Drosophila melanogaster: one gene and its partners. The protein of the gene in region 3 interacts with the protein of the main gene of each other region in a pairwise test. Each region holds a gene or a part of one and is shown on either strand. Other genes may lie near its edges. The genes, in order: Es2, CG5913, CG13083 and Golgin84.

Region 1 (4,892 bases), on a different chromosome or scaffold from region 3:
TACCATTAGATGGTGCAGCCAGGGTAATCAATGCGATAACATACCCAGGACGCGGGAATAGCAGTTGGAGGATCCATCGGAACAGTTGCGATTGAGCAGGCTCAATGGATCTGTGGCGCAGCGTTCGTTGTCCTTCGAATTGCACTGGATGCATCCATCTGCAAATTGAGCGAGTGGAACGGAGCGTTTCGATTGAGTCATGCCTGATTAGATTAGATCAAGTTTTTCGTAATCGTTGCGTTGGCATAATGACATCATATTGATTTCGTGCAAAGTCTGCCTACCTACCACAGTGCATATGTGTTTGAATGTGTTTGATTATTTCTTTTTATGTATCTACCTGCATGCCTTATTACAATGACGCGCACTGTACTCGGATGGCAATTGTCTCGATTTTCCACAATCGATTCTTACGAACATGCCCATGACAAGTGAATCAGCAAACTTGTATGTTTTTGATAAGAAGAGTCAATTTACATTGGCTATAAATCGAAAGCTTGCAAGCAAATTATATTTAGCATATCAGGTGGCAGTAAATATTAAATATTTACCAAGTGTTTACATGAAAGTACGAATGTACGAGATTATGTTTCAACTTTAATAATGAAACGGAATAACTATGTACTTCATCACAAAGAGAAATTAAATTACCGCTGACATACAGCTGTGTTCATAAAAATAGCAGTGCTTGAGTTTAAAATAAAAAAATCTTAAGATTTCAAGTTTTAATGGGAAAATTTTTTTTATAATATCATTAGGTATTTAATTTTAAACAATTCAACAAATGTTTCACATTCATTTTTTTAATAGTTTCGAAAATATAGATTAAAACAAGCAGAAATAGCAGTGCTATGAAAAAATAGTAACAAAATTCAACTTGACTTAGAACGAACTTATTCTTAGCCGATTTGCTTCTGCGTTTCTTTATTTTTTATTTTTTTAATTTATTGCCCTTTTAAATATACAAATTCAAATTCAAATTCAAACTCACTTTTTAGAAAATATTGATCATTTCGGGAGTTTACGTTGGTCAAAACCAGACACTGCTATTCTGTTGAACAGCCTAAAAGTTGTGATTTTGCTCAAGAATGTAAATAAAAAAAAGGATAGCATAGAAAACTAACGACATTTTCTTTTTTTCCCTATCTACACATTCCAATTCACAAAAATAAGTGGAATAAAAATTCGATCCCGAAACATGAAAAAAAAACCGTCGCATTTCTTAGTTTCTCTTGCACTGCTATTTTTTTGAACACAGCTGTATGTACACATGGTTTAAATATATGGCGTACAATTTTCACATCTTTTTGCTGGCTCACTCACACTTAGAAAAAAAAGAATATGTTTGCCCAGTTACAAAGCTAAGAACCTTTAAAAGTTTCTTTGGAAACTCGCCTATTGATAGCTTATCATGAATTTATTTCCGTGTCCATGATATCACCGCTTATCACACCTTATATAAAACACTCAATAAGTTTTTCAATTCAAAGAGCAAAAAGAAAATTAAAAAAAAAAAAATACGATCCCGATGAAAATTAAAAGTGAAACTTATTTTGGAACAACATTTAGGCAGGTACAACATTTACCACAACTGATGTAGGCCAAAAACGAGAGGGCTGCAATCACCAACAGGTAAAACTTCATGGCTGATAACTGATGTAACTAATTTCACGACGATCGAATGTTGCGACTGGTTACGGAGCTGAACCAGAACTAAGGGAGTAGAAAAGGTTCAATGAGTGATTTGAGTTTTGCCGAGCTTTATACCCTATTCATATATACCTACAGCTTTACGATAAGGCACCACGACAACAGTAATTCTATTGGTGAGTTGAGAAAAAAAAGTGTTTTGAAATGATTCACGACGCTAAAGTTGTCGCTCTTTGGCATACATTCATTTTCATAAATTATGTTCAGCGGGTTAGTCAGCGCACTTGCGAAACTTCCAGATGTTTTAAAAATATATCTTTAATGTTTGCAAAATCGTAATAAATTTCATTTTCAAGTGCTAGCTAATCGCATTAAAATTTCAATTCAAATGCTAGCGCGCATTTGAATGCGTTCCACACTTATCGATAACACGTCGATAAGTACTCCTTGCCAGAGTTTTTAATTAATATAGTTTAGCAAAATATCATTTTGTTTCTATTTAAATTTAAATTGGTTCATACTCACCAATTTATTGTAAAGGAAGTCGAAACTTTTAAGCTGATTAATTTCACCTTTTACATCCGAGAATTAAAAAAAAATACAGGGAAATATTTTGAACCGACGTTTTGTTATTCTGAGTGAAACTTAAAACGGTCACACTTTGCTGGCAGACAAAAATATTCACTTTTTATATCTAAACAAAACAAAGTTATTTACGAAAAAAGCGAGATATAAACGGCAATGAGCGCCACGACTAGAACACCTGCCACACCGGGGACACCTGGCACTCCCGGCAGCCTGGCCATGGAAGTGGCCCGCGTCCAGAATTCAGCACTCGCCGAGTTTAAAAAGCCCACGGCGATGGTGCGCCACAAGAACAAGCCAAAGATCCTTACCGAGGAGAAGTACATCGAGGAGATGTCTAAGATCATCCAGCGCGACTTCTTTCCCGATCTGGAGCGGCTGCGTGCCCAAAACGACTACCTGGACGCGGAGTCACGGCGCGACTTTGTACAAATGGCCGAGATTCGGGAGCGCTACAGTCTGGGCAGGATTTCCGGGACAGGAAGAAGCACCAGCCGACGGAATAATGGTGGGTATTGTACTCAATTGGATGAACACCACTGGCACATCGCTGTCTGCTACTATCTTACTTGAAATCAAGTCTGATGAAATTATACATTGGCCAAGTTCAATAGATAGACCCATTAACTTTTTGAATTCCTTCATTTCAGCCATGTCCCCGGCCACATTTGAGACACCAGTGAGTCAGGCGAAATGTAGCAACACCCCATTGCCAAATTCCCGGGCCACAGACACACCATTTTCCACGGACGGCTCCGAGAAGAGCGATGCCGAGGGCAGGGACACCACCGCGAAGCTATCGCTGGACGCCTTTCTGCAGAAGTACACCAGCGAGGATAACCAGAGCTTTCAGGAGATCATCGAAACGGCCGAGGCCAAGCTGCGCCAAAAATACGCAGTACTGTACAACCATGAGAAGCTCTCCGCAGAGCAACTGCAGCGGGCCCTAATGCTGCCCAGCATAGAAACGCAATTCGAGGAGCCAGATCCGCTGAGAAAGATCGAAACCTGGAACTACACCAACATGAATTCCATTATGTACGTGCCCGATGGCGTGGAGTACACAGAGGAGGAGCGCGTCCAGTTGGCCGAACGGAAGCAGAGCATCCAACACAATGCCACCAGGCTGCCCGATGAGGCAAAGCATCGCGAAATGGACACTAAAAAGCTGAATGATGAAGTGCCCCAAAATGGGGCTGGTGGTGCCACAGCTACTCCGAAGGTACGCGGCTTCGATTTGTTGCGTTCACCATCACCGCGACCCGGAGAGGCTTTCTCGCCCATAATGACCTGGGGTGAGATCGATGGCACTCCCTTTCGCCTGGACGGAGGCGATACCCCATTGCGGCCCACACAAGGACCCTCGTTCCGGATTAATGAGAACTCTCGGCGCGAAAACATCGCCATCGCTTTGGCCGAAAGGGTCAGCGAAAGGATGCGAAATCAAAAACAAATGGCTCTGGATACGGCGCGTCGTAACATTGGCTCACCACTGATACGCACCAATATGGAACGGCTGGCCAGCATGTCGCCGGCAGCGCAGCTACTGGCCACGGGTAAGCTGGGTATCCGCGGCACGCCCCGATTAAGGCACACACCATCGCCGATGAGCGGCAGAAAACGAAAGGTTACGCCCGGCGTGGTGAGGAGCACCAATACGCCAATACTGGGTGAACCCAAACCCAAACAGCAGGCCAAGATTAGCACTCCGGCTAAGAACGTTACCATTGATACGGGATCCACGCTCACGGACGATCTGCTCAAGATACCCACTAAACGACGCACTGCAGCCGATTTCTTTTAGTACATAACATTACCCATAACCCAGCTACATTATTCATGTTTAATTTCATTAGAGAATACTATACATAGTCCCACAGTGTTGTTACGAATTGTATATTTCTTATAAATAGATGCCGAGTTGTTGGAAAGAAGATTTAAGAATGCGTAAATCATAAACATCATACACATATCTTATCAGCTTTGAAGTTCATTAAGATGTATTGGGTGTTGTAGCAAAAACACTTGCGCACATTTTTAGTTTCATTTTAATGTTTCAATACGAAAAACCCCATTACCACAGATAGCAACATACTGATTAACTAGCTAGAACTGCTCATCCCTGTAATCCACATGATCGCCGGACTTGAACTTGAATGCTTCCAGGACTTTGATGAATCGCTCCGTCGTTTGGGCGGGAGTCAGCATGGTCTTGGACTCCCTTTGCTCTCGAAACATGGCGACCACGGCGGGATCGTGGGCCTCTCGCTGAACCTGGACGGTCATCTGTGTGTCTATGACGCCGGGCGCGTAGTTCAACACCAGGGTGTCCTCGGCGGACTCCTCGGTGGCCAGCACTCGGAAGTACATCTCACGGGCTGCCTTCACCGTGCAATAGTGTGCCATCGAGGATATAGGTGCAATGGCTGCCAAGGTGCTGAGATTAACCACCAACTTTGGGATTCCCTTGAAGACGCGCATAAACTCGCAGTTTAGCGAAATGGCCGAGAAGACATTGGAGTGGTAGTAGCGCTGTAGGAAGTCGGTATCTCCGATTTCTTTGGCCCTCTTTGACGTATCGCCCACTGTGCCGGCATTATGAATGACTATGGCTCGCTCGAAATTGTTCTTTCCACCGGATGCCTCCAGAATCTTGG
Region 2 (4,228 bases), on a different chromosome or scaffold from region 3:
GCCTCAAGCAACTTCGATGGCATCGAGGGCACGGAAAATGATGCAGATGTGGCGGATCTGACGGCTGAGATGAGCGTGTTTCCCTGGTTCCACGGCACACTGACGCGATCAGAAGCTGCCAGAATGGTACTCCATTCGGATGCAGCCGGACATGGATACTTTTTGGTGCGACAGAGCGAAACGCGCCGCGGCGAGTTCGTTCTGACCTTTAACTTCCAAGGACGAGCCAAGCATTTGCGGCTCACCATTTCGGAGAAGGGTCAGTGTCGGGTGCAGCACCTGTGGTTTCCCTCGATCCAGGAAATGCTCGAACACTTCCGCCACAACCCGATACCACTGGAATCGGGCGGCACTTCGGATGTGACTCTTACCGAATGGGTGCACTCACACAGCAGACTGAATGACCCGACGACGGCAGCAAATCATGACTCAGGACAACTCAACGATCTTTCGACAAATGGGAATGGCAATGGGAACGGCAATGGCTACGATAATGGTCAGGGTTCATCGACGGCATCGAATGCGGCGGGAGGAACTGCATCGGGAGCTGCTGGCGGTGGCCATCCGTCGCCGAGACATGTGAGATAGCCAAAATTTTGGAGTCAATTCAGTGTCAGTGATGGTTTTTTATTTTACTTTGATTTCAATTAAGTTGTTATCATTTCATATCAACTGGGATGGGGCTTGAACTGTGAACTGATGAATCTAGAGCTTAGTAACTAACTTACATTTTGTTTTAAAAATCCAAAGATTGATTCCAATAGTAACTTTAATCAATCAATGAAGCTAAAATTCTAAATTATAACTTGCATATTTCAAAACCGGATAAATGAATTTTGGAACCCTTTGTTTCAAGTAAATATGTTGTATTTTAGTTAGTTCGTGTTTAGTTTGATTTGATTGTCGCATGCTTCATGTTTCACCACACACCCCAGACCGCCCCGAAAAAGTCTCCAGACTAACTAAACTTTATTTTAAATACTCTTCCAACAGTGCAACGAAGTGATTACCATGAATTTGAGTGTTCGCCTAAAGACAAATGAAATCGAACTGCCACAGGAGCCAACACACGTCTATTTTCCGGAGCAAGTCTATTTCCATTTGGATCCCACAACGCTAACAGTGCACGGATCACCGCCACCGGCCCAGAATTTCCTGGACCAGCCACATCTGCGGGCTTCGAACGCCTCCCTTCAGGCAGCTGCCCACCATCAGGCGGGTTCCTCCGGCAACCGGCATCCCAGCGATGGCGGCAGCAACAGCGGCGGAGCAGGAGGCGGATCGGGATCCAGTGGAGGAGCCGAGTGCACCGGACGGGCCGTCGATAATCAGTACAGCTTCACCTAAGTCCGCGCGATCGATCATCAACTGCATTTCGCGGCTTAACCAGCGGAACTTTACTTTTGTGCCATTTTAATCATTGTCCTAAAGGAGAGGAAAATTGTGTTTTTTTTCGCATCAATGTGCGTTCTTTGCTTTCTTGATTCACTTGTTTCTATTTTAGTTAGTACCTCTTTTGGAAGACATGAAGTAACTGAACATTATTATGTATACATTATATAGCTAAATGTGTGTGTTCATTTTAAGTACATCAATGTTGTATGTATAGAAAAGAAGAACCTAAAAAAAAAAAAACGCAAAAGAAAATTGTACGATTTTTGTGGGCACCAAAGGTGCGACTCATGCGAATCCTAAAACTTCCTGCTTTACAAAACAAAAATACATACATATATACCATACTTATAAATATAAATTATATATACATAAATATATATTGAAATTGGTAAACTACAATAAATGAAGTTATGTAAAAGTAAACCAACGTCGGTCTTCTTTCATTTGGGCTTTGGGTTTTAAAGTGGTTATTTTAATTACTTTTACCAAGTCTTTATATTATATATAAATTCGTTTGAAATAAGGTAACGAAAAATGTTTTTCAAAATATTTGCATGGTATGTGCCCGTGCTAACCTCGCAGCGCTATTTTGACAAGTTGGCAGGTTGGCTTTGGAAAAGTTTTTGATATTTCCGACCCACAAAGCAATGGTCACATTGCCACGCCGGTGAGAGGCAAAAAGTTGACAATTCGAGGAAAAGCTGAAACTCTCGAAGGATATGGAAGATCTGGAACTGTATTTGGTGGATTCCCTGAAGGCGCTGTCCTTCCAAGGGCACTGCCAAAAGCAGGAAAATCTGAGTCGTGCCCTGGACGCGGGTATTGAAAGTCCAGACATGCAAGAGGTGGTTCTTTGGCTCGCCCACGAATTGCACATTTTGCGGAAAACCGATGAGCGGGTGAATCAGGGCAAAGCCCTTAACAAAGACTTTTCCTTCGAGCTGTCTCTGCTACTCACGGAACTTGGCTGCCCGTACCGCGAGCTGGTGCAGGGACCCATAGAGCAGCGATTCAAGAGCCGTATGGCACTGGTGCAGCTGCTGGAGTACCTCACATCCGAACTGATGACCACCAAAATGGTTCTGAAGGCCCAGCCCGTGGGTCCACCCTGCAAACGATCGAAGGTGGACACGAATGTCCAACAGGTTGTCGAAAACTTAGCCAAGGATCTTCAGCTGGGCGAAGTGCCTAAGAACATCAATACCAAGATGCTTTTCGAGAAGATAACTCCCCGCTTGGAGCAGGCCATTAAAAAAACCAATCCCCAAGTGCTCAGCGAACCGCTGTTGAAGCTTAAGAAGCCCTTGACTGATGCACAATGGCAATTGTTGGAGACCCTGCACCGAGAACTGGAGGCGGAGTACAATTTGCGCAGGCAGATGATGTCCACGCGTCTGGAGGCCACTGTACAAAGCTTTCAGTGGTCGGAGTCTATGCGTCAGCGCTCCAATGAGATCATGGATCGATTCAATCGCAAGATGAGGGAGCTGGATCAGTTTAAAGTGGGCGGAAAGCAAACCGACTTGGTCGCCCTGTTGGCAGCTCGCTCAGATCTGGCCATCATTGAGAAGACAAGCTCAGCGAATGTGAGAAAGAATACGGCTTCCAAAATCCAAAAGCATGTGATTGGTCGGGTACCCGATCGCGGAGGCAGGGCCAATGAGCATGCTCCTCCGCCACCAGAGATGCCCTCGTGGCAGCAGCAAAGGGCTAGTGGTCCTCCAGGTGGCGGACGCGGTGGAGGAGGTAATTTCAGAGGAGGCAGGGGCGGCGGCGGCGGTGGCGGCTTCGGTGGAGGAAGAGGAGGTGGAGGAGGAGGTGGAGGTGGCAACTGGCAGCAGCCTCAGCAGCAGCAGCAGCAACATCAAAACCAAAGTTACGAACAACGTGACCGCAGCGATAGAAATGATCAGCAATGGATCAGCGGGAGTGGCCGTGTGCAGGGTACAGGCTGGAATCCACAAGGCGGCCGTGATGGTGGAGGACGTGATGGAGGAGGACGTGATGGAGGAGGACGTGATGGAGGAGGACGAGGCAGAGGAGGTGGAGGCGGTCGCGGAGGATACCGTGGCGGCTACCGATGATCCCTAATTCCCAAAAATGTAGACCATAAACGACTGATCCTCTTGTAAACTACTAACATTACATGTCTTTAATCGCACGCATACCCCAGTTTAATTTATTGCGAAATTTAACGAATTTGTTAATTATTGCAAATGGGCAGGTATTTATAAAATAAACTAAATATGCCATCTATTTGCCAGCAAATCTCGCGTGTCGATTTCGCTTTTTGGGAATCTGGGTTAGGTGTTTCACTTTCAATGTGTTCGTGATTAGCCATTTTAGGTTCACATTATAGTCAAATTAATCAGATAGATAATGAGGGCAACGGACTAAGTCTAATGAATTATTATTACAGCATTATATTATATAGTTTGTGACGTATATTTGGTATTACCATTTGTTTAATTTAAAAATTAAATATTCAATAGAGTACATTACTGTCAACGCTTTGTTACAAAATATTGCATACTAGATATACACTTTAACGATGATCTAGTTAAACTTTAGTTATAGACCGTCAACGCATATATACTATATTATAAATTCATCAGTACTTTGTTCCAATTTGTGGTAATATAATTATAATAGCTTACCTATGCTTCGATATTATTGAACTGTCAACCGCTTCTGAACGTCTCAATAATGGGATTGTGATCTTGCCCTCAATCCCCGCAAGAAGTACGCCCATGTGGCAGGTAACCAGGCATCAGACCCAGACACACGCGACACTCGATTGCCATTAGCTTCCAATCTAGTCATCAAATGTGCC
Region 3 (4,340 bases):
ACGTTTAAGAAGCGCTTCGAGACGGCCTTCTTTATGACTGCCCTGGAACAGGAACCCAGGGTTCACATCGAACCTAATGAGGTCAAGGATTCTGCGGTAGGTGGGTGGGATATTATACGGCACAAGAGCGATACGCGAAACCTTTAAGTTGCATTTAATGTACTATCATTTATATTATTGTAGTGGCGTTCCCCATTGGACTACCTTCAAGCGAGCCTAAGAAAAGAACTCTGGCTGCCGCCTCCACAATTCTATGAACTTTCGCGCTGCCTAAACTTCTCCTCTTTAGATAACCTGCGTCAGTTTGCAGCAGAGCGTGAGGTCAAAGGCATTCAGCTGATTCATCCTGTAGTGCACAAGTGTACAAATGGATTAGTGCATCTCTTGCCAGGAGATGATGCTTACCCCGCCGATCCGGATGCAAGTAACGAAAAAATTGAGATCGATTTGTCAGTCGAGGAATTCCGTTCGAAGACGAATGCTAAATTACATCGATCGGAGCACTGGAACCAGCATCAGTCGCAGCTGATAATTAAGTTTGAGCGGGATGATGGTCAGGTTCATCCATTGGATCCAACAAAATTATAGAGGTAGAGCCGGTTTCCTCTATGTCAGGTGCATTTATCTAGTTTTATAAGTTTTCCAACAATTGATATATAAAGTTGGACATAACACTTTTTAGCAATATACAACTTATAAAGTTCGATTTCCTCCATTTACTCTTGTTTATTACATTGTGTTACAGAACGGTTTAATATACAATTATATAAGATAGATAGAATCGACATGCTGGGATTTGATATAGGAAATCAAGCAATTTCTGAATATGGCATAAAACATCTATCTTCAGTTTTCGTATTAATGCTACTGGCCCTTTCCATACCAAAGTTTGTATAGGTATTCAGCCTCTTCTTGGGATGCATAGACGTTCTCGTATCCTTGATTGCCCTCTGGTTTTGGCCTTAAAATGAAAAGAGTGGTTTTAGTGTGCACCCAGAAGTAGGGCATACAAACTTACTTGTAAATTGGTGCGTGTTCCGGGTGAGTCCAGATCTCGTGGGGCTTCTGGTGTGACGGATTTTTGTGCTTGCAGCCATCCAGCGTCCTTTCAATGTTCTTCTGATTGTTCAGTAGGGCAGCCAGTTTATGATCGACCTGTGAGGTGGCCACCTGCACTCCATGGACAGTGTGCTCGATGCTGTTGAGGCTCTCGGACTGAGTGCGGTTGAGAATGACCAGACCCCACTCCAATTGATTGACTTTGCGATTGGCACGATCTGCCAGAGCCTTAAGTTCGCCCAGATATCCCACTTGACCCACGATGTTGCGCTGCTGCTCCTGGAGGACCTTCGCTTTATTGTCCAAGCCGATGAGTTCCCCTATGACGGCCTGTGATAGCAGCTGCTGAATCTCCGACAGATGCGAGTTGACGGATGAGGCCACTTCATTTAGGTTCTGCTCGTATTTGTTCTGATTGGCAGCCACTTGTTCCAGGGCTTTCCTGATTTCTAGCTCCACTTTGGTAAGATTCCTAATAGAGTTTTCATTCTGACCCTGGATTGCGTTAACAATGGCTGTCAAATTTCCCACTCCAGAGGCCGTGGCTTGGAAGCTGCTTTGAACGTTCGATTCCAGCTTGGCTATGGCAACCTCCAATCCAGCAATGAGTTCGATCTCGTCGCGCTGATGCTTGAACTTCTCTTCAATGCCCTTCTGCACGTCCTTCACTTTCTGCAGCCCATGGTTTAGCTCCTCCGTACCTTTGATCAGCTCCTCCACCTCACTGCGGATCTCATGGATGGAGTCCAGATCCTCAGCTGCAGCCGCGCATAGGTAAATGCATATCGTTAGCAAAGTCAGTCGCACTCTCATGGTGTTTCTCTGATGGCCGCTCCCCGCTGAGTGTCTCTTTTCGATCCGAACCGCAACTTAAGTAGCCCAACTTAAGGTCCAAAACGTGTCTTAGACTGGGTTAAGTTCTATCAGTTCGGTCACCACCCACTTCTCTTCAGCGGGTGCAGGTGCAAATGCTGCTCCAATCTGTAATAGTGTGTTTACGAGAATTTCCCTACTACTAAGAAGATAGTCGCGAACAACTGTTTTATCATCTTGTAAAAAGAAAGAACTAAAGCGAATTATGTTGCATGTAGTCGTACTAAATAGTTATTGGTTCATCGACATCTTGGTAAAGTTAGGGAAAATCCGTGTAGTGTCACGTTTCAAAATTCTTCTTTGTTTCTAAACAGAACAGATTGACCCGGTTTTTTGTGTGCTACGGTAGTAATAACACCACTGAAAAACGTGCCCCAGCTGCTTCTTGTTCAAATTCATTCAGAAAATAGGTCTTCGAAGGTAATGATAACGTAACAAATGTTTTCGGGCATACTGTCTATCGTTTACAAGAAATAAAGTAATAAAGCGAACTAAAGTAATTTTGTAAAAGTTTAATAAGTCTATATTTTGTTTCCTATTTCGAAAACAGCAGTATAATTAATTATCCTTCATATTATCATGCCTATTCAAAAATTGGCCAAGATGCCTTTTGCAAATTTAAACAAACTTGGATCCTTTACTATTAACTTTTAAAAAAGCTTAAAATATTTTTAAAATTTGCTTCTATCAACAAACAATAGCATAGGTTAATAGTAAGGTGAATTTATTTACCTACAAAACATACAAAATAACAAAAATTTCTTCGTATATTTTGAATAGATTTTGAGAAAAGTTTTTGGAAATTGAATGTATATTTTCGCATACGATGCTAAAAGTTGATGCATATGATTTCCATGAAACTATAGCATTTTTTCTCAAAAGTTATTTATTAATTACTTGCTAGGAATATAATCAAAAATGTATTTCCTTTGCTTTTTTTTTATTTATTTATAAAACATAAAAATTGTACAAAGTAATGAATCTGAATTAAAAAAAAAGAGTTTGTTAAATGCTTTGAAAAGTTGTATCAGTTTCAGTAACAGTGGTAGTCCCAGTTAAATCTTCCTTTAGTATCCTTGGGGGAGGGAACTGTCTCCATACCAAATCCTGAAGGATTCTCCTGGCTGGATGGGCTGTGGCTTGTAGATCTCCTCATTGTAAGACTGTGGCTCGTGGTGGGGCTTATGAGGTTGCTCGTGGTTAGGTTTGGGACTGTAATCCACAGGAAGCTTGTAGGATTCAGGCTGGTCATGTGGCAAAGGAACATAGGATGCCGGAGTAGGGTGCTCTTTCTTGGGGCACGGCTTGGGCTTGGTAACGGAGGTGGGAACGTGGGCCGGAGCTGGGTTCCATGGCTGATGGTGGTGAACTGGAGCGGACTGGTATGGGGATCCGTACTCCCACGGCACCGTCTGCCGCCAGGACACGGCGCTGGAGCTCTGATAGTTCTTCTTTGGCTCGGGGGACTGGGCATAGGCGGTAGCTTTGTGGTTTCCAGAGTGCTCTCCTATGAACGACAAGCCATTAATTTGTGATCCTAATCTGGTGGCAATAAGGACCACTTACCGTGCTTGGGCTCCTCCTTGATGCTCCACACCTGTTCCAGATCCACTTGCTTGGGCTTAGGATGAGCATGCTGCGGCTCTGGGACCTCAGCTCCGTAGGTGGGAAGATAGGACTCGTCGTGATGGCCATATTGCGGATAGGGCTGTTGTCGGCTGCACTCTTCCAGACCCAGTTCGATGCGTTTCTGCGAGATGATCAGTTCGCGGAGAACAGCCTCCACTTTCCAGGAACTGTGGGGCTGCAAATGCTTGACTGCATCGATTAGGATGTCCAAGCGCTGCTCCTGAGTGCGATTCAGCTGCTTCAATTGATGCTCCAGCACGTTCAGCTTGAAGTTGGAGTTCTCGCTGAGCTCCTTGACTCCGGCCAAGTTCTTCAGCTCCACCTCCACGTTGATTTGGGACGTCTCCAAGCTATCGAAGGTACACTTTAGCCCATTCAATTGTGGCAACACCGTCCTAGTAATAAGTTTGGCCAGTCCGTCGATGCTGTTGTCAATGTTGCGGGAACTATGGAGCACGTGCCTCTGATAGGCATCCAGCTTGGCCTCCAGGACATTGAGTATCTCCTTGGTGCCCTCCTGCAGACGCACCAATTCCAGGAGCTCTGACTCCGTTCGATTGCCGTATTCCTCGCCCTGCCTAGAGAGGTTCTCAAGGGTGGCCACCAGATTGTGGGAGCCAACCTCCAGAACGACAGTCAACTTGGCTAGCAGCTTCTCCACGAGCGTCAGGGCCTTCAGTGCCTCCTTTTGCTCTGCCAAACCGACCTGAGTCTGCTCGCTTACTTGGGCAATCCGGGTCAGGAGCACATTGGCTGCCTGTACGCCCTTCGCATTGTCC
Region 4 (4,588 bases), on a different chromosome or scaffold from region 3:
GTTTCATACCTGGTGGTCGTATAGATAAATATTTGGGCAACCTAAACTTTTTCTTTATTCGGGAGAGCACGTCGATCCGGGAAAATGGTGGCATCAGCGGATTTGTCCATGGCTTCATTACCGAACTGTTGGCTGTGGTGAGAGCACACATCGCTTCGCTGGGCGGAAATGCCATGGTCTCTTTTTACATCACCGAACTTATGTTGTTCGATAATCAGCACAAGAATCAGGTAAGGCAAACACAATGATCTACTTACCTTAAAGTTTTTATACTGAAATCTTGTATTCTTAGGGCCAGTGCCTGATTAGCATCGGAGGCGATGCTGTCTATGTGAGCTACCATGCCGATGACTGATATAAAAACTTGCGGGGCATATAGCGCATGTTTTACGCGAATCGTCCCAAAAGCGTATACTCTCTATTTTCTTCCGCTTAGCTAGAACTATCAGCTCTGCCCAGCAACTGGAGTTAAACTGAAGTTAAACTAATTCACGTTTACTTAACAATTTTACAGCATCTGTAGATGGATTCTTTATGCAATATTTGAACTGTGAGGAATCGTTCTAATCCTAACTTAGTAGTGCTAATTTTTTCGGTCTTGTTACTTGTTTGCTGGATGTTTTTAGCGTTAAATCAATTGCAATTTCTGTACATAGTTGATGTTTATTGAATATTGAATTTAGAACGAGTGCGAGACACAAGTATAATATCGATATATACAATTGTTGCAACCACAAACATGACACATATACTCGTACCACTAGATATCCAATTTTGGCGCGTAAAATACAATACATACAATATTATGGAAATACAACAATTGCTCAACTAAATGTATTTGATTCGATTAGTTTGGTGTAGTGGAGAGCAGCACAAACATGACCCACAGATGTAGTAGGGCCACGTAGACGATCACAGAGACCCGCATCATGGGATAGCGACGCAGAAACGTTCCCACCCGAATACCCATGGAGTCCGCCTGGCGAAGGGCTCGCTTGAAGCGTCGTGCCACACGATTATCGAATGGACTTGGATGCATGAGAAGCGGGAATTGTGCTTTGACTAGGTAGAACTCATATTTATGTAATTTCTGGTACTCGCAGAATGTTAGACTTACCATCATCTGTGCTGTTGAGCATAGTATGGCGGGAGCTGCCCCTTTGGCTCTCCATTTCCACCAAGTGCATGTTTTGCTGTAGCTGCGTCTGTGCCTTTTCGTGCTGTAGTCGCAGGGCATTTCTCTCACTCGTAACTCTTTCCAGAAGACTTTGACGTTCGACCAGTGATTGGGTTAAAGCCTTTAGCCGAGTCTCGTAATCGCTCTTGGCTCCCGTGTTGGCTTCCTCGCTCAATCGCTGACGCATCTGCTGAAGCTGCTGCTCCCGCTCCTGGAGTCGAGTGGCGGCAGCAGCCATTTGGTTACTAAGTTGCTGCCGCAGTGAGGCCAGTTCCTGCGTGAGCACTCGCTGATCGGATTCGGAGGTCACACTGTGTTCCCTTGCCTGTCGCAACTCCTTTGCTAGTGTTTCCTCGCGTTGGCGGGCAGAGCTTAGTTCCACCTGTCGTTGTCTTTCCTGGGAAACGTAATCGTCCAGCTGCAAGCGCGCCTTTTGCAGTTCCTCGTTGGCATGCTCTAGTTCTTGCTTAAGTGACTCGTGTTCAATTTGCAGAAAACGCGTTTCACTGTCCTTGGACACCAGGTTTGGATCTGCGCCCTCCTCCGTGGGCTTCGCCTTCAACTCTGCGATGAGGGAATCCTTTGCTTGCAGAGCTCGCTGAGCCTTGATACGGTATTCCTGAAGCTCCTGGCGCTGCTGCTCCGTTTCCTTTGTTTGCATTTGCAATTTGTGAGCGGCGCTTATGTATTCCTGCTGCAACTTGGCCAGATTGGTTTCCAGTTCGGAGATGGAGTGCACATACGCCATGTTAGCTGCCTGGGCCTCATTGTAGTCATGAACCGCCTTGTCCCGCTCTTCGGACAGACTTTTAACCAGAGCTTCCAGCACCTGGGTGTGTTGATGCAGATCAAACTTTTCGGTTTCGTTATTAAGATCTTCCAAGCGCAGACGCAGTTCATCTCTTTCGGCCGTGATTTCATTCAGGGCGATCTTGAAGGCAGCCAATTCATTTGTGTCCATTGAGTTGGCGGATATGTCGGGACTGTTGGAGAAACTGGCCGACGTGGTCATCTTTTGGCGCATGTCCTTAGTGACCACGGAGACCCCGCCATCGCTTTTTACACTTGATGAGCTATTGGCCCCCGAGCGCCGCACTGGCGACAGAGTGGACTTCAGGGATGTGGACAGTGATTGGGTGCTGCTCGTCATGCTCCTACGCATGGGATCCGCTGAACCTGTGGCGTTCTCTGTCTGCAGGGCCGTTGCCGCATTTTGGTCCAGCTTGTTCAAAATGTTTTCGGCCTTGTCCGCCAGTCCTGTGATCCAGGATGACATATTTTTCTAAGAAAAACAAATCTCTTCGAGTAAAACACGTAAACAATATCACACTGTGTGCCCATATCGCTATCGACTGCGGAATGGTCAACTCCAAAGTTAAGGTCACTCTAAAAGTAACGTAATTTTGAAAAACCTTTTTTCTGATCAAAAAAATATTTATATGAAAATGTAAGGATTGGTTTTAGAAATAAATGTAATTCCAATCTTTCTTATCCGTGCAGAAATGTTAATTTATTATGCTTATCAAAACTCTAGGGTACAAATGAATATTTTATTCAATACTCAACATGGGCAGTGTAATCTTCGCAACTCACAACTATAAACTATCTCTTCACTTTCCAATGCAAAAGTCCTTGAAGACCACGTCGAGTATATCTTCGCAGCTGATGTGTCCGGTGATGCGTTCGATGCAGCGCACGGAGTTGCGCAGCTTGGAGGCGGCTATGGCCATGTCCGGGTAAACGTCGGGTCTGTAATCTCGTAGAAAAATATCAATGTTCTCAATGCAGCGCTCCAGTTGCTGACGGTAGCGTGTGTTTGTGATGCGTGGATTCTCCGCCCGCGGTTCTCCGCACAGTTCTTGCAGCTGCTTCTCCAGTGATCCCAGAAACACGGGCATCTTATCGGGCTTATGGCATGATATGGCTAACACGTTGGACAGCTTGTCCAGCTGCTGATGCTCCTCATCCGTCAAAGTGTCGGTTTTATTGGCCACCAATTGCAGACGTTTCCCTGAGCACATGTCCAGAGGTATATCCAACTCGCCCAGATAGCTATCTACAAACGGAGCAACTGCGTCGTCGTGCGTCAGCTGTGCAATGTTCTTGGCTTCTGCTAGGAGCAATATCAAATCAGATTGGACTAGACAATTCTTGGCTCTCTGCATTCCCTCCTGCTCTATACTATCCGTAGTATATCGGCGTAATCCGGCTGTGTCGGAAAATACCACCGGGTATCCTCCGAAATTGTGCATTGTTTCTATAATATCCCTTGTGGTGCCCGCCTGATCCGTCACTATGGACACGGATCGCTGGCAGAGGAGATTGAGCAGACTACTCTTGCCAACATTGGGTGCTCCAATGATCACAGTGCGGACTCCGTCGCGGAGGAGCTCTCCCTGCCGCTGGTCACTCAAATGCTCGCGAATCTCACGCTTTACCGCCTTTAGTTCTTTGCCGAGTTGCAGGATGATGCCGCCTTCGATTTGCTCCTCTTCGGCGAAGTCTATGTAGGCCTCCAAATGGGCAGCACAGCGAATAAGTCGACGGCGCCAGTTGTCGTAGAGTCGAGCCAGTGCTCCAGTGCTTTGTAGCAGTGCCTGGAGAAAGAAGAGACTTGAAACAAAATTTATGAGACCCTAAGTCCACTGTCTACCTGCTTTCTTTGCGCCTCCGTTTCAGCATGGATAAGATCGGCCAATCCCTCCACCTCTGTCAAATCCAGTTTGCCACCAAAGAACGCTCTCTTTGTGAACTCTCCCGGCTCCGCCGGCCGCAATCCATCCACTTTTCCCAGAGCATCCAACATGGCCGCAATGACTGCCAGGGACCCGTGTACCTGAAACTCGCAGGAATCCTCGCCAGTGAAAGAAGCCGGTCCCGGAAACCAAAGTAAGAGCCCACGGTCAATCATCTCTTTGCTGGCGGGATGGTAGAAGGATTTCAGATACGCCTGACGAGCCTATATGGAAAAGTATTTATAAAGGGAACTATAAGTTTCACTATCATAGAGGTCTCTCGTCTTAAAACCTGGCAGCTTGCCAATTATAACAAATTAAGCAGTTCACGAAATTATTCAATTTATTTAGTCAATTATATGTAAGTTAGGAGAAATTTGTTTATTTTTATACAGGATACATCTCCCAAAATGTATATAAATAAGCAACAGGTCTTTTCATTTGCATACATATATTTTGGATACTAGAAAACAAAACTATACACTGCACAGGTCACGACCCCTCATATATGGAATAATAAACGTTTATATCGATTGACTTGCCTTTGGCTCGTATTCTTTGTTTGCAACAATTGCTCGGAGGGCCTTCTTTGTTTGCGGCCCGGAGACACGGATCACGGACACACCGCACTTGACATGACCGGAACTGAGGCTGTAGATGGTGCATCCGCTGCTGG

Evidence for each region.
Region 1: the proteins of CG13083 (region 3) and Es2 interact in a two-hybrid assay, tested with the Drosophila melanogaster proteins (one large-scale study listed by BioGRID).
Region 2: the proteins of CG13083 (region 3) and CG5913 interact in a two-hybrid assay, tested with the Drosophila melanogaster proteins (one large-scale study listed by BioGRID).
Region 4: the proteins of CG13083 (region 3) and Golgin84 interact in a two-hybrid assay, tested with the Drosophila melanogaster proteins (one large-scale study listed by BioGRID).

Annotation. Positions count from the first base shown.
Region 1 is NC_004354.4:8,459,180-8,464,071, forward strand, and holds Es2 (Es2), read left to right. Parts: upstream 1-2,299; 5' UTR 2,300-2,391; coding exon 2,392-2,743; intron 2,744-2,885; coding exon 2,886-4,039; 3' UTR 4,040-4,170; downstream 4,171-4,892. Other genes in the region: CG15347 (uncharacterized protein), read right to left, coding at 45-203, 1,587-1,644; Sptr (sepiapterin reductase), read right to left, coding at 4,342-4,892.
Region 2 is NT_033777.3:25,891,456-25,895,683, forward strand, and holds CG5913 (uncharacterized protein), read left to right. Parts: upstream 1-2,039; 5' UTR 2,040-2,114; coding exon 2,115-3,479; 3' UTR 3,480-3,571; downstream 3,572-4,228. Other genes in the region: Lnk, read left to right, coding at 1-579, 994-1,347.
Region 3 is NT_033779.5:19,485,056-19,489,395, reverse strand, and holds CG13083 (uncharacterized protein), read right to left. Parts: upstream 1,907-4,340; 5' UTR 1,873-1,906; coding exon 1,019-1,872; intron 962-1,018; coding exon 865-961; 3' UTR 705-864; downstream 1-704. Other genes in the region: CG10194 (uncharacterized protein), read left to right, coding at 1-96, 184-588; CG13084 (uncharacterized protein), read right to left, coding at 3,000-3,439, 3,499-4,340.
Region 4 is NT_033777.3:24,355,424-24,360,011, forward strand, and holds Golgin84 (Golgin-84), read right to left. Parts: upstream 2,516-4,588; 5' UTR 2,454-2,515; coding exon 1,118-2,453; intron 1,063-1,117; coding exon 848-1,062; 3' UTR 647-847; downstream 1-646. Other genes in the region: CG6454 (uncharacterized protein), read left to right, coding at 1-230, 293-355; CG18528 (uncharacterized protein), read right to left, coding at 2,788-3,774, 3,831-4,136, 4,455-4,588. UniProt on the Drosophila melanogaster protein: May be involved in maintaining Golgi structure and in intra-Golgi transport.